Linked DNA regions of Danio rerio. The protein of the gene in region 1 interacts with the protein of each later gene in a pairwise test. Links are inferred from orthologs where the notes say so. Each region holds a gene or a part of one and is shown on either strand. Other genes may lie near its edges.

The links.
Region 2: the proteins of ciao1 (region 1) and ciao2b interact in binary tests that used the Homo sapiens proteins (3 or more experiments, as listed by UniProt). The two-hybrid records come from large-scale screens. The link is inferred for Danio rerio from reciprocal best matches to the Homo sapiens genes CIAO1 and CIAO2B.

What each region holds. Positions count from the first base shown.
Region 1 is NC_133183.1:6,292,329-6,298,790, reverse strand, and holds part of ciao1 (probable cytosolic iron-sulfur protein assembly protein ciao1), read left to right. Parts: intron 1-1,046; coding exon 1,047-1,195; intron 1,196-3,698; coding exon 3,699-3,810; intron 3,811-4,131; coding exon 4,132-4,220; intron 4,221-4,541; coding exon 4,542-4,737; intron 4,738-6,017; coding exon 6,018-6,093; intron 6,094-6,422; coding exon 6,423-6,462. UniProt on the Homo sapiens protein: Key component of the cytosolic iron-sulfur protein assembly (CIA) complex, a multiprotein complex that mediates the incorporation of iron-sulfur cluster into extramitochondrial Fe/S proteins.
Region 2 is NC_133182.1:45,534,080-45,541,225, forward strand, and holds ciao2b (cytosolic iron-sulfur assembly component 2B), read right to left. Parts: upstream 4,740-7,146; 5' UTR 4,671-4,739; coding exon 4,544-4,670; intron 4,363-4,543; coding exon 4,283-4,362; intron 2,380-4,282; coding exon 2,254-2,379; intron 2,163-2,253; coding exon 2,117-2,162; intron 1,148-2,116; coding exon 1,047-1,147; 3' UTR 201-1,046; downstream 1-200.

The DNA.
Region 1 (6,462 bases):
ATGTTACACATACAGTACATGCAAAAAATATTAATTAATAAATGAATAAAAGTAAAATAAACTAAAATAAGATAAAATAATAATAATAAAAAGGGCAATTTTGAAAAAAAAAGACATTAAGACAATGACAGTTCAACACACATACATTCCAATGAAAGTGAAAAAGATATTAAAGTTAGTCATAACAAACACAGTGCACATTAACACAGTCACATTGTTTGTGATTACTAAACGTTCAGGCCATTCTTACTTAAAAAATAAAGAAAGAAGTCCCAAATCTTGTAAAATATGTGCATTTTTTGTTTGACTGAGTAAGTCAGTCTTTGCATTGCTATACAAGAAGACATTTCCTCAATCCAGAGTGACAAAGATGGACCATGAATACTTCTCCAGTGAATGGCAGTCAGGCATTTCGTATGCAATAGACACAGATTTTAAAACTTCTGTTCATATGACTTCAGCGATAAGGCAGGTGGGAAAAGACCAAGAACACAGATTTAGGGCAAACAGGGATTTCTTTAACAATAGTTTTAGAGATTACATCTATTAGGTATTTCCAAAAGGATTGCAAGTGCTCGCATTGCCAAACACAATGGAATAGTGTACTCTTGTAAGTCAAACATAAAACACAAAACAATTTTGATAATATTAATTTTTATTATATTTAAAATTTGTAAAAGCTTATTGAGAGGGAAAACTTATAGATTTAAAGGAAAAGTAAATATTTCAAATGCAATTAGATAATTATTTTGGGGTCTCACTGTGTTTTTAATGTATTTGCTGTTCTGTTTTTGACAATTTTTTTACATTTTGCTCCATCATGATAACAAAATATTAATACAATTTTAAATAATATAAAATATGAACCCTTTACAGGGCACTCATTGAAATACTCATTGGAAAATCCTTGGTGTTACTGGTGGTAATTACAAGACTTTTGAAGTTTTAGGACTTTTATATAGTCTCTTTAAAACATTAATAGCATCCAGAAAAATAGAAAAAAAGCATTATTGCATTTTCAGCCTCTCGTTTGTTTTCATTCTCAGGGGACAGTTGGGAATGTAAGTGTGTCCTTTCTGATGGACACCAGCGCACAGTCAGAAAAGTAGCCTGGTCTCCCTGTGGGAAATACCTGGCTTCAGCCAGCTTTGATGCCACGACATGCATCTGGAAGAAGACGGATGAGGATTTTGAGGTGTGTGCTTGTATAAGCCTGATTTTTTTTCATTCTTTCAATTTTCTTTTTTTATTGCAGTATAACACAAGTGCAATAAGGAAAAAAATCTAATAAACATATCCACCAGAATGTACAATAATAGCACAAATTATTAAAAATAAATAAATAAATATAAATAAAAACAAAAACATTACAGCAAAAATAAACAAAAAAATCCAACAAAACTGAAAAAAAAAACTTTCATCAGTGTAAATTTTTTCAATAAACTGCAGTCTCCTTCCTGAATTAGATTTTATTTATCGTAAAGATCTACAGTATTACCAAAATTCCCTTTGGAAAACCAAAAACAATGGTTTTGTTGTAAGGCACTTGCATTGGATATAAAAATTTCTCCCAAATAAAATATTTTAAAAAAATAATGTAATATGTCATCGACCTCTAATAAATCAAAAATATCAAATATATATTATAAAAATAATAATATAACAAAAATATGAAATAGACATATTTAGAAAATTGGGAAGGCGGCTCCAGGGGTCTCATGTATCAAGGCTGCGTACACACAAAAACTTTGCGTACGGCAGGTTTTACGCTCGCGTTTGGATTTATTAACGATGAAATTAACGTGAGAATGTGCGTCGGTCCACGCCTACTTCATGCCTGGCGGACGCACATTTCTTGTGCGTGTCTGTTTTAATTCCATGGGAGACTCCTAGAGGCAGTAGTGTTAAATTGCACACCACGTCTTTGAGCCGTGTAATGGCAGCTGTATGAGAAGGGTTCATCCGCATGTCTAGCAGGTTTATAAGGTTTCCATACCATGCAGTTAACCAGCCAAACATTAAAGCGCAATTTGCAGCGGTCGCCTGTTTGCCCAATGTAATCGGAGCGATATACTGCACGCACATTGCTATAATGGTGCCATCTGAAGACGAATTTGTATACGTGAATCCGAAACATTTCCATTCAATAAATGTGCAAATAATATATGATGCACAAACTTATTAATGATTCTTACTTGTCTTCCTCGTGATGAAGAGTAGCCAAAATCAGATATGTAGCGGGGGAAAAAAAGAAGAACGTCTTCATCAGATGTGGGATTTGAACCAAGTTCATGCTTAAACGTGTCAAAACATGTTGCCATGCGTTTTACGAGCTACGCCACTCACGCAGTTAAAGAATCTACAACATTTTACACCTTTACATCATTCAGACCCAACTGTGTTAACCGCATCAGCTAAACTCTCCCACTCTAATTTTTTTCTTTTGTTATTAATTCCGGAGGACAAACTTGCAAATAACACCGTTTTTCCCCGGTCTAGCTCTGAAAGCAGCACCTCCAATTCGCATTCTGTTCAAAGTTTCTCTTCTTGCTTGCTTTTGCCATTACTTTTTTATTGGGTTTTGCCAAAGTATAGTAATAAGCATATTCATACGGGGGAGGAGGCAGGGAGGGGTTTTGCGCTCGTGCACATGCGCTCAGTTTCACGTTCATTCTGATGTACAAGGAGAATATGGGTGTGATTCGGTGTATGCAGTAAAAATTTCAGATGTATGAAACGCTGCGTCCAGTCGGTTTTAGACCATGCACCACAGCGCAAAGCGGATTTTTCCGCCCTTAAAATAGCAAAAGTGGATTCTGACACGCCCAGAATTAGGGGTGTCAAAATTAATTGTTTCTTCGGTGCACCGCGATGCAGATGCAGACAATTCGGTATCGGTTCAGTAATAATCATAACCGGTTATTATGTACTGACGTCATTTATCTCCTATGCGCTCTGTCGCGAGGGAGGTGAGCGCGAGTTTTTACAAACCTCAGCGCGGTTCAGTTGGTTTTGTTTTCGATATTCCTGACACACATTCAAGTATAGACGGCAATAACTCAAAAACCGCTTACCCTAAAAAGATCTAAAGTGTGTTTCCTACAAAAAGACAAAGCTGGTTATGTTTCACAGCTGTTTTTCTTTTTTTCGCTCAACATTACGAGCACTGCTCCGCTTAAGCCCTCGCAATATGTGTTTAGCCGGGAGAGCTCGTGCTGAGTAAGGGACCGTCGGAAAAGTGCTTCTTTTTTTTGTTTTTCTGCTCCGCTCAGCGTGAGCCCTCCCTGTTGTGAAGGCTTAAGTGTGTGTGTGTGTGTGTATGTGTGTGTGTGTTTGTTTCTTTGGTGCTGTCTATGTTTGTGTATGTGTTTGAATGACAGACAGTGTGGTGCTGTGTGTCTGTGTGTTTATACAGACAGCTTGTTATAGCCTCCCCCCTAAAATATAACACTGTATATGGAAAGCATCGTCAATGCACCGTGATGCACCGAGATATCGAATTGAACCGAATCGAAGGCATGATAATCGTAACCGAACCGTGAGACCAGTATAGGTTCACACCTCTACCCTGAATGCTTTTGCGCCCTGCGCTTTGCACTTTGCGCATGGATCATCAAAATAGAGCCCTAAAAGGCTAATTTTAGACTCTTAAAAAATCCAGAAAGTTGATCTGACATGTTTGTTATGTGTGTTTCCAGTGCCTGACGGTGTTAGAAGGTCATGAGAATGAGGTGAAATGTGTAGCTTGGGCTCCATCTGGAAGCTTACTGGCCACCTGCAGCAGAGACAAAAGCGTTTGGATTTGGGAAGGTACCTCAGAAATATGGAGAATACAGTGTCTTTCTGTAACACAAATACAAACCTTTATTAATTTTAAGTCTCACTGTGCTGATAAATGGTTCATAATGCGACTAGAAACAGTTCTTATTAAAGCTCCAGTGAAATTAAAGATTTTTTTATACATGGTAGTTTTAGTATGTTAGTTTTAAGGATATCTATAAGCTAGTGTGCTCCAAAACAGTGACAATATTTGTTTATGATGAATAAACACTGGTTTTGCCTATAATGTTTCATCTTAAAAGATTTTACCAGGATGATTTATCTGTGTTAAATGCTTCATTTTCCTTGTAGTGGATGAGGAGGACGAATACGAGTGTTTAAGTGTTGTGAATTCACACACGCAGGACGTAAAACATGTCGTCTGGCACCCGACGCAGGAGGTATAATATTCACACTCTTGATCAACATTATTCAATTCACCTTTATTTGTACAGCGCTTTTAATATGTAGATTTGGTCAAAGCAGCCTCACATAGAAGATTATAGTGAATTGAAACCGTGTAGTTTTAGTTTTCAATGTTAAAGTTCAGTTTAGCTCAGTTCAGTGTGGTTTAATTATCACTACTGAGAATCCAAACAGTGAAAAGCAAATCCATCAGTGCGCAGCTCTACAGATACCATGCAAGCTAGTGGCGACAGCAGCGAGGAAAAAAATTCACCAATTGTCAACACTGACCTGTGTTTTTTCTGATACTTTTGCAGCTTCTCGCATCAGCCAGTTACGACAACAAGATCTGTATTTATAAAGAGGAAGATGATGACTGGGAATGCAGAGCCACGCTAGAAGGACATGAATCCACTGTCTGGAGTTTGACCTTTGACCCTGAGGGACGGAGATTGGCTTCTTGTAGCGACGATCGAACCGTAAAGATCTGGAAAGAGTCGACAACTGGAGATGGTGAGGAGTTTTAGATACAGTTTTGCATAGTTAATCTTAAAGTCTCCGTGAAATCAAATCTAACCGTATTGATTTTGTTAGCTCACTTTGCTAGTTTTGTATAAATTCATTTGTGCATGTCATTAAAAAAAAAAAGTTTGCCCTTCTAATCTAAATTTAAAATCTGAAAATTCCCTTCCTGTTTGTTTTCGGTTAAATTCTTAGATTAGGCCTGTCTGAGGTTTTGGGTGTGGCTAACATACTTAACCACGCCCCTCCAGCTGTCAGTTTTGACAACAAACTGAATTGGTGAGGAGGATGAGTCTGTTGTAATAACTGTCTCCAAACCCTTTCCCCATCTTTCTTGTAATGTAATGTGTATTTATATAGCGCATTTATTGTGTATGGCCTACATCCAAAGCGCTTCACAATCATGAGGCGGGGGGGGGTCTCTCCACACCACCACCAGTGTGCAGCATTCACTTGGATGATGCGACGGCAGCCACAGGACAACAGCGCCAGTGCGCTCACTACACACCAGCTATTGGAGAAGCGGAGAGACAGTGATACAGCCAATTCAGTGGAAAGGGAAGATTGGGAGGCCATGATTGTAAGGGCAGATAGAGGGACTTTGGCCCGGACACCAGGGTTACACCCCTACTCTTTACGAGACGTGCCATGGGATTTTTAATGACCAAAGAGAGTCAGGGCCTCGGTTTAACGTCTCATCCGAAAGACGGCTCTCTGAATGAAATGCCGACTTCACTACATCCAATCAGCTCTCAGAAGAAAAACAAGCCACGCCCACTGATTTCTTATTTAATATTTCGTTTAGCCGCCTTTCCACTGCACACGACATTTGGACACGACTGTCAGAATACGCCCCCTTGTGGCAGTCGCACAGTATTTTCAGTGTTGTCATGCACCATTGGGAGAGGAGCTGTTCTGGCAGTGTCCGAAATAAAGGAGCGTGAAAGCAAGAACCTTTATTCTCTGTGCATTTACATGGTTTAATGAAGGAATGAATACTAGAAACTCAAAGACCGCTACAAATATTGGAGGGAATGTGGAGACAACATTAAAAAATTTATTTTTATTACTTTCTTACTTGCGTTTATGAACAGTTTTTTTTTTAATAGACTTTTTATGATTCAAAAAATAACCAAATAAAGTCCTGTTTCTCTTCTCGCGCGCTCTGACCAGCTTGTACAACACTGGAATACATCACATCCGGTCAGCCGGTCGCATCCGGTCAAGTCGACAATATAAATCTAAGAATTCTGCTTTTATGTTTCTGTTAGGTTCTTCGGATGAGTCCTGGAAGTGTATATGCACCTTGTCTGGATTCCATGGGAGAACAATATATGATATTGCATGGTAAGATGTGCAGTATATATAGGAGCAGAAATGGCTACAGGGTTTCTGTGGTTATCGAATTTGTATATACTGAATAATTAGCCGTCCTATATATATATTTTTTTTTCTAAATTTGTGTTTAATGGAAGGAATTAGTAAAAAAAAAAAAAAAAAAAATATATATATATATATATATATATATATATATATATATATATATATATATATATATATATATATATACACACACCGTAAATACACCTAAATTGTCAAAACAAACTTTTTATTTTGGATGTGATTAATTTTTCCCGAGCACTAATTGTTTTACTTTGTGGTTCTCCCGATTTCAGGTGTCGTCTGACCGGTGCTTTAGCCACCGCATGTGGTGAT
Region 2 (7,146 bases), on another chromosome or scaffold:
TCAGACATAATGTTTTTATGTTGTGTATTAAAAATATTCACGATTTTTGGAAATGACTCTAGCTGCAGTTTCCTAGTGCTGAAGAGCAGAACTGCATAAGTAATTTCTGAAAATAAATAAATAAAACCTGTTTTTTTTTGCAAACGACCTCATCACATCCTTCCTAGCTGATGCTTTAAGAAACACTGTGGACTCATTTGCAGCATTTAGAAAACTGAAACATTTATTTTATAACAGCAGTCAGTGAAAATGCAGTAATAAAGAGCTTAAATCCAATGGTCTGTGACAAAGCTTAATAAAAGCTCATCTTACAAGTTACATCGTCTTGTGAAGTGTAGAATGTTATTGATGTATCATTTTCATGATGCATAACCAAGTGTTGATGTACCAGTAAATCCATATACTTGACTTAGAAATTAATTATTTGTAGAAATGAATTAGTTTACCACATTGAACACAAAAGGAGTTATTGATAATTATTATAAATTTTATAAACCATATATCATCCAAACGTATGGCCACTAAAAAAGGTATTAAAGTTAAAAAGGCTTCATTGCATTCCAGACATTTCGCTCAAAAAACATATTCCATATAATACTTCTATTGGCAAAACTGTAAAGCTAATAATAAACAAGGCAGTGCAAATGATTTCAGTTTTACACATTCTCCACTTTCATTAACATACATTCCTTTGAAAACTTTCTAAAATCTGTTTGTTCAAATCAGACTAATATTAGTCATTTTGTACATTTACACGGATGTATCACAAAATTGCATCACCTTTTTTGTATCCACATACTCTTAAGCGAATAAAACTGATTCTGTTTCCATATTGACTTTATATTAGGATAATTTCTTCTCTTTTTTAAACAGAGTATGGATAGATCCCCCACTCTCTCCTTTTAAATACGAGTTGTTCTGATCGGATTTTGTTTATTGAATGCATCAATCATTCTAAAGAAGCAAATTAACAGCACTATTAATGGCACTGTTATTAGCCTTCAAGAGTTCAGTCATGACCTGTTAATGAAGCAGGAATGAGCTGATCACACTCCCCTGCTGGACAGACACTGGTTGACTACCTCCAGCAGCTGAGAGTTCTCCAGAGCCGCTGCCACTCGCTCTTTGTCTGCCAGCTGCTTGTTGACTGCAGTAGAAAGGGAATATATACATAAACATATATATCTAAAATTTTATATATATATATATATATATATATATATATATATATATATATATATATATATATATATAACATACAATTTATATTCAGAAAGTAAATTATTGTAAATAATAATAATAATTATTATTTTAATTATTAAAATGCCGTTTTTAAACGATGTTGTTTTGCTGAGAAATTTGTTGTTACAATACTATTGTTACTATTTTCATTTATGATTTTTCTTTATATTAGCTTTGAAATTTCTATGTTTATATTTAGCAACTAAAATGAACAAAATAGCTTAGTTGGCCATAATAACCCAGTTATTAATACATTTTAATGGTGGTAATTATACATCCACATGAACAGTACCTGTCCTGAAGCAATTTAAGATTGCTGAATTATACATGCATTATTTTCCTAAAATCATGTAAAAATATATAAAATATATCATGATTTGGCCGAAGTTTTTTTTGTACATTTCTCATTGTGGTGTGCTTTAATGTTTTATTGTCCACCACAAAAGAAAATATAAAGCTTTAATTATAGATCTAAGCCTTAAAACAGCATCTTAATCTAGTATATTCTTAGGAGAGAACTGATATATAAATTTAATAGAAACAGTGCAGTACACAGTTATAATACTCTTATAGATATATTACAAGCTAAAAGAAATTCATCCTCACAGAACAAAAAAAATCCAACAAATTGCATACATTTGCATTTTTTTGTCTCAAAATAAAATGTTTTTCAAGTGTTAAATCATATTATATAGAGAGCCAATTACATAATACAAAAGACAAAAGTCAAAAGTTACATGAAAATGCTATACATACACACACACACACACACACACACACACACACACACACACACACACACACACACACACACACACACACACACACACACTTTTTTTTCTTTATTAACTACTATTCTATCATAACAGTTTACCTGCATCCTCAGAAGCATGTGTGCCAGGCGTGATGTGAACGTCAATCTAACAACACAAAGACAAAAGATTTATGTGTGGCCCAGAGCCTACAGTAAGAAGTTCCAACGTGTTTGGTTGCTCAGTAAATACACTGTACCTTAAATCTGTCAGGCAGGGAGCGCAGCAGCTTGACTTTGATTGACAGGCCAATGAGTGTGGCCATACTGCAGTGTGGGATGGTCGGTGTGAACTCAACAGACACTGTGCTCTCCTCATCATTCACCTGTTCAGCCGGAAACATATTATAAAAGATAGAAAGGCATCAACGCTTGTTTGCAAATGAGACTTTACTTCACCATTTGTATTGTTTTTTTTTAGTTTTTTTTTACAATTTTAGACTCAAAAAAGGCTAAGAGCTAAGGAATAAAAAAAATATAATATATATATATATATATATATATATATATATATATATATATATATATATATATATATATATATATATATATATATATATATATAAATGTATGTATGTATGTATGTATGTGTGTGTATATATATATATATTTTTTTTTATTCCTTAGCTCTTAGCCTTTTTTGAGTCTAATTTAATTTATGTATGTATGTATGTATGTATGTATGTATGTATGTATGTATGTATGTATGTATATATCATTGAATACGTAAAAAAAAAAAAAAGACAAATGTTTTAAAAGTTTAAATATGATAATAAACTAAATCTATGCGCAACAATCTGTCCAAGCCAGTATCCTTAGCAGTAAATACATGGAGCACTTTTAAACAATTGCTATTGTAAGGGAAATAGTTCAACTATTATGATAAGTAGTGTTAAAGATCATAATACTTTAATCATTACATAAAAATATTTATGTATATGGATTGCAGGTGATTGCATGGGTTTTGGCCAGGTTGGTTAGCAATACATGAACAAATGAAAATTAGGACTTGTTTTTAAAAAAAAAAAAAAAGATTTAAGACCTTCAAAACAATATTTCTGTAAATTCAGGACTTATTAAGGCCTAAAATTCAGATTTTGGGATTTAAGATATTTTAAGACTTTTTAAGACCCAACGGAAACCCTGCGGTTAAATAAGCATCTGAAATATTTTATGGCATACTTCAAAAAACAAAGATGATTTAGTGTTCAAAAATGTTAGATTTTTATTATGCTTTTAAATAAATTTGGTCTTAAATTTCATATTTTCTGATTTTTATAGTATATGTATCAACTCCGGTACTTTTACCATAAACCAACATGTCAACTATTTGGTAGAGGTTAATATTTTTGAAATTATGGGATGTGTTGAAAAAATGCATTGCGTTAACTGGTGACATTACGAGTTAAGAAATGCAATCCAAAAATGTTTATTTTGGTGGGGTAGTTAATTTATATCTATTCTGAGAAAAATGTTTGAACTGAGACTCGAAACAGAGAGAAAGAATGATGCATCACAATAACTTATTATGAATTATTTATATTATGCATTGAATTTCTTTTTTCCTTGAAGAATTATACTTTCATAGAAGAGTTCAAACATTTGGTAACACTTTACAATAAGGTACTACTACCATATAATACAGTCTATTATTACTGTAGTTTATATAAACTCACGGTGCATTAACTAATAACAAGCATGAATTTGGAATTTCAATAATGCATTAGTGAATGTTGAACTTAGTTACTATGATTAATGAATGCTGCACAAGCGTTGCTTATACTTAGTCCATGTTAGTAAACATATTAACTAATGAATTGAGGTAAAGTTGGTTTTATATTTACACATTCTGACTTTCTCCCTAATAATATGACTTTATTTAAGTATTCTTTGCTAATTCCTAATATTAACATCATATTAGCAGCCAATGACTATCAAAGTACAACATTTCATTTTAATAATGCTAAAGTTGTTTTGAAGTCATATTTACGTGTGATTTCAGTTATTAAATTCAAAGTACCAGGGTAAACAATACAGAGAGAATAATAATAATAATAATAATAATAAAAGAAATATGAATGAATGTCACAAGCTGTCACTGAACGAATGAGGGAATATAAAATCAACTTTACCTTAGTAACTAATGAAACCTTATTGTAAAGTGTGAACAAATTTTTCATATTTATTTATTCGAGGAGTTCTGCTATTGTGCAAACCACTCAGACTCACATTGACACGCACTTGTTCCACCACATTGAGCTCTTCGAGAGACAGCGGGTGCTCGGGGTCATTGATCGACCTGATCAAATGTAAGTTAATTAGTTAAGGTCTGACTCTAGTATACAGGAACACTTAAATGAGTTTGTGAACTCAAGCAGATTGCAGAAGTAAATAACTGCTATGGTGGCAGATAATTCAAAGCAACCAGGTCGACTTGTCAAAGCAGTGGTGTAGCCTAAAAGTGATGTACGGTGTACTACGAAAGGATATCGAAGATCTCTCTGACATCGATGGGGTCCGCCACATCTTCATCTTCATCAGTGGAGGTGAGCAGTCTTTCCCCTGACCGCTGAAATATCAGAGGATTGGCGTTCTCTAGTCGAGTTCCACCAGACATTATTACACCCTCGACAATGAATTTATGACCAGTAAGTTACTAGTATTTTAGCAGTACTAGCTAATCAAGTCGCTAACTCTACTTCGAAGCCAAACACAAATGACCACAACCCAGGCGAAAAACCCGGAAGTGTACTCGGTTTTCAAAATAAAAGTTTTTAAATAAAAGTCGATGTTTTTGTTTTTGGTTCTGTGTAGAACAGGGGTGTCCAAACTCGGTCCTGGAGGGCCGATGTCCTGCATATTTTATTTTCAACCCCAATTAAACACACCTGAAATAGCTATAACTCATTCTAGGTATACAAAAAACTTCCAAGCAGGTGTGTTGAAGGAAGTTGGAGCTAAACTATGCAAGACACCAGCCCTCCAGGACCGAGTTTGGCCACCCCTGGTGTAGAACATAATTTTACAACATTCTGGGTCATTCTACTGAAACGTGCTTTTTCTGTAGGTCCTTATTATTATTATTATTTTGGCTTAGTCCCTTTACTTATCTGGGGTCACCACAGTGGAATGAACCGCCAACTTATCCAGCACATGGTTTACACAGCAGATGCCCTTGCTTTCAGCTGCAACCGAGTGCTGGGAATCATCTACTGTATATACACACTCATGCACTATGGACAATTTAGTCTATTCAATTCATCTATAGAGCATGTCTTTGTACTGTGGGAGAAACCGGAGCACCTGGAGAAAACCCACGCCAACATGGGGAGAACATGCAAACTCCACACAGAAATGCTAAATGGCCGAGCCGGTAATTGAATCAGAGAATCAGAGGCGACAGTGCTAACCACTGGGCCATATTTATATAGATATATACTGTATATGCTTCATGGTCACAGAATCTTTCTGTTGGTTTCACTTAAAAGGAGCAGGATAAAACACGTGTTGAATTTCTGTACAGAAAGGTTGTGTTTTGATCTTCTTTAGGTTCAGGTGACATTCAAGTGATGCAAATTCACAAGTTAGAGTTCACTAACACATGCAGTTTGCTGTCTGATAGATTTGGATGTGCATGAATGAAAGTCAGTGGGGCAAAAAGTGTTGTCTGACCACACCTTTACAGACATGAAATGCTTGCATTGGCTGTGTTAAATTTCAGAGGCTGAATCCTATGAAGGAAGCATTTGAAAGTTGTCTCAATTCAAACTAATTTGAGGCTTGTTGTTGTTACTGGTTGGTATTTTGCTGCCTCATCCAATTTATGTACATTCTAGCTTATTTGTATAAATTATGATATTTATGATGGTGACGCGGTGGCACAGTGGATAGCACATTTGCCTCACTCCAAGATGGTCGCTGGTTCGAGCCTCAGCTGGGTCAGTTGACATTCCTTTGTGGAGTTTTCATGTTCCCTGCATTTGCATGGGTTTCTTTCAGGTGCTCCGGTTTCCCCCACAGTCCAAAAAACATGTGGTACAGGTGAATTAGGTAAGCTAAACTGACCGTAGTGTATGTGTGTGGGTGAGTGTGAATGGGTGCTTTTCAGTGATGGGTTGCAGCTGGAAGGGCATCCACTGCATAAAACATGTGCTGGATAAGTTGGCAGTTCATTCTGCTGTTGCAACCCCAGAATAAAAAAGGGACTAAGCCAAAAAGAAAATGAATGAATAAATGATATTAATGATATTTGTATGAACTGTATGAATTAGGTTTCAGTTTACTTTGATATGTAAATGAACAAATCATACTAAGAAGTCATTTCATAGACCTTTTACATTTTTATGTGTTGAATGCATAGGAAATAGGGAATTATATTATATATTAATATTTCTACATTTTGGGAATTTTGTTTTGCTATCAAAATGCTTGTTTTAAAATCACTTTGAGAAAAAGTCAATACAAATGTTACTGTCACTCATTAACGAAAGCTGCCAAGGTTGCTAGGTGACAAGATCAGTATATAGCTCAACTATCTTATTTCACAATGTTCGCCTCGGCCTGTGTAGACTTCAAAGGACTCACCTTTGAAGTCTAGGGGCCCTATCATACACCCGGCGCAATGTGGCGCAAGGCGCAACGCAATTGTTGTTTGCTGGTTTCAGCTTGGCACAAGACTCATTTTGATGTTTTAATAGCAACCACGCTGTTTAAATAGCAAATGCATTTGTGCTCATATGTGCGCCTGTAAGCGTTTGGTCTAAAAAGGAAGGTGTTTTGAGGCGCATTACTGGCACATTGCTATTTTGAGAAACTATAATAGATTTTTCAATAGACCAGAACATAGCCGGTCTATTGTCCAGCGCAGAGTGCGATAGTTTTGCGCCTCGCTTACACACTGCTTAATACACACAAGGTGTAGAGCAATACGCAAATATCTTTACATGTGAAAAAGAATAAAAATAAGGAAATATATAGGATATAATAAGGATATATATAGGATATAAATATAAAGGATTAAAATATTACAAAACATATTATTTTCTAGCCTACATGAATTTAAAATCCATACTTTCATGCGTTCTTCAACTCGG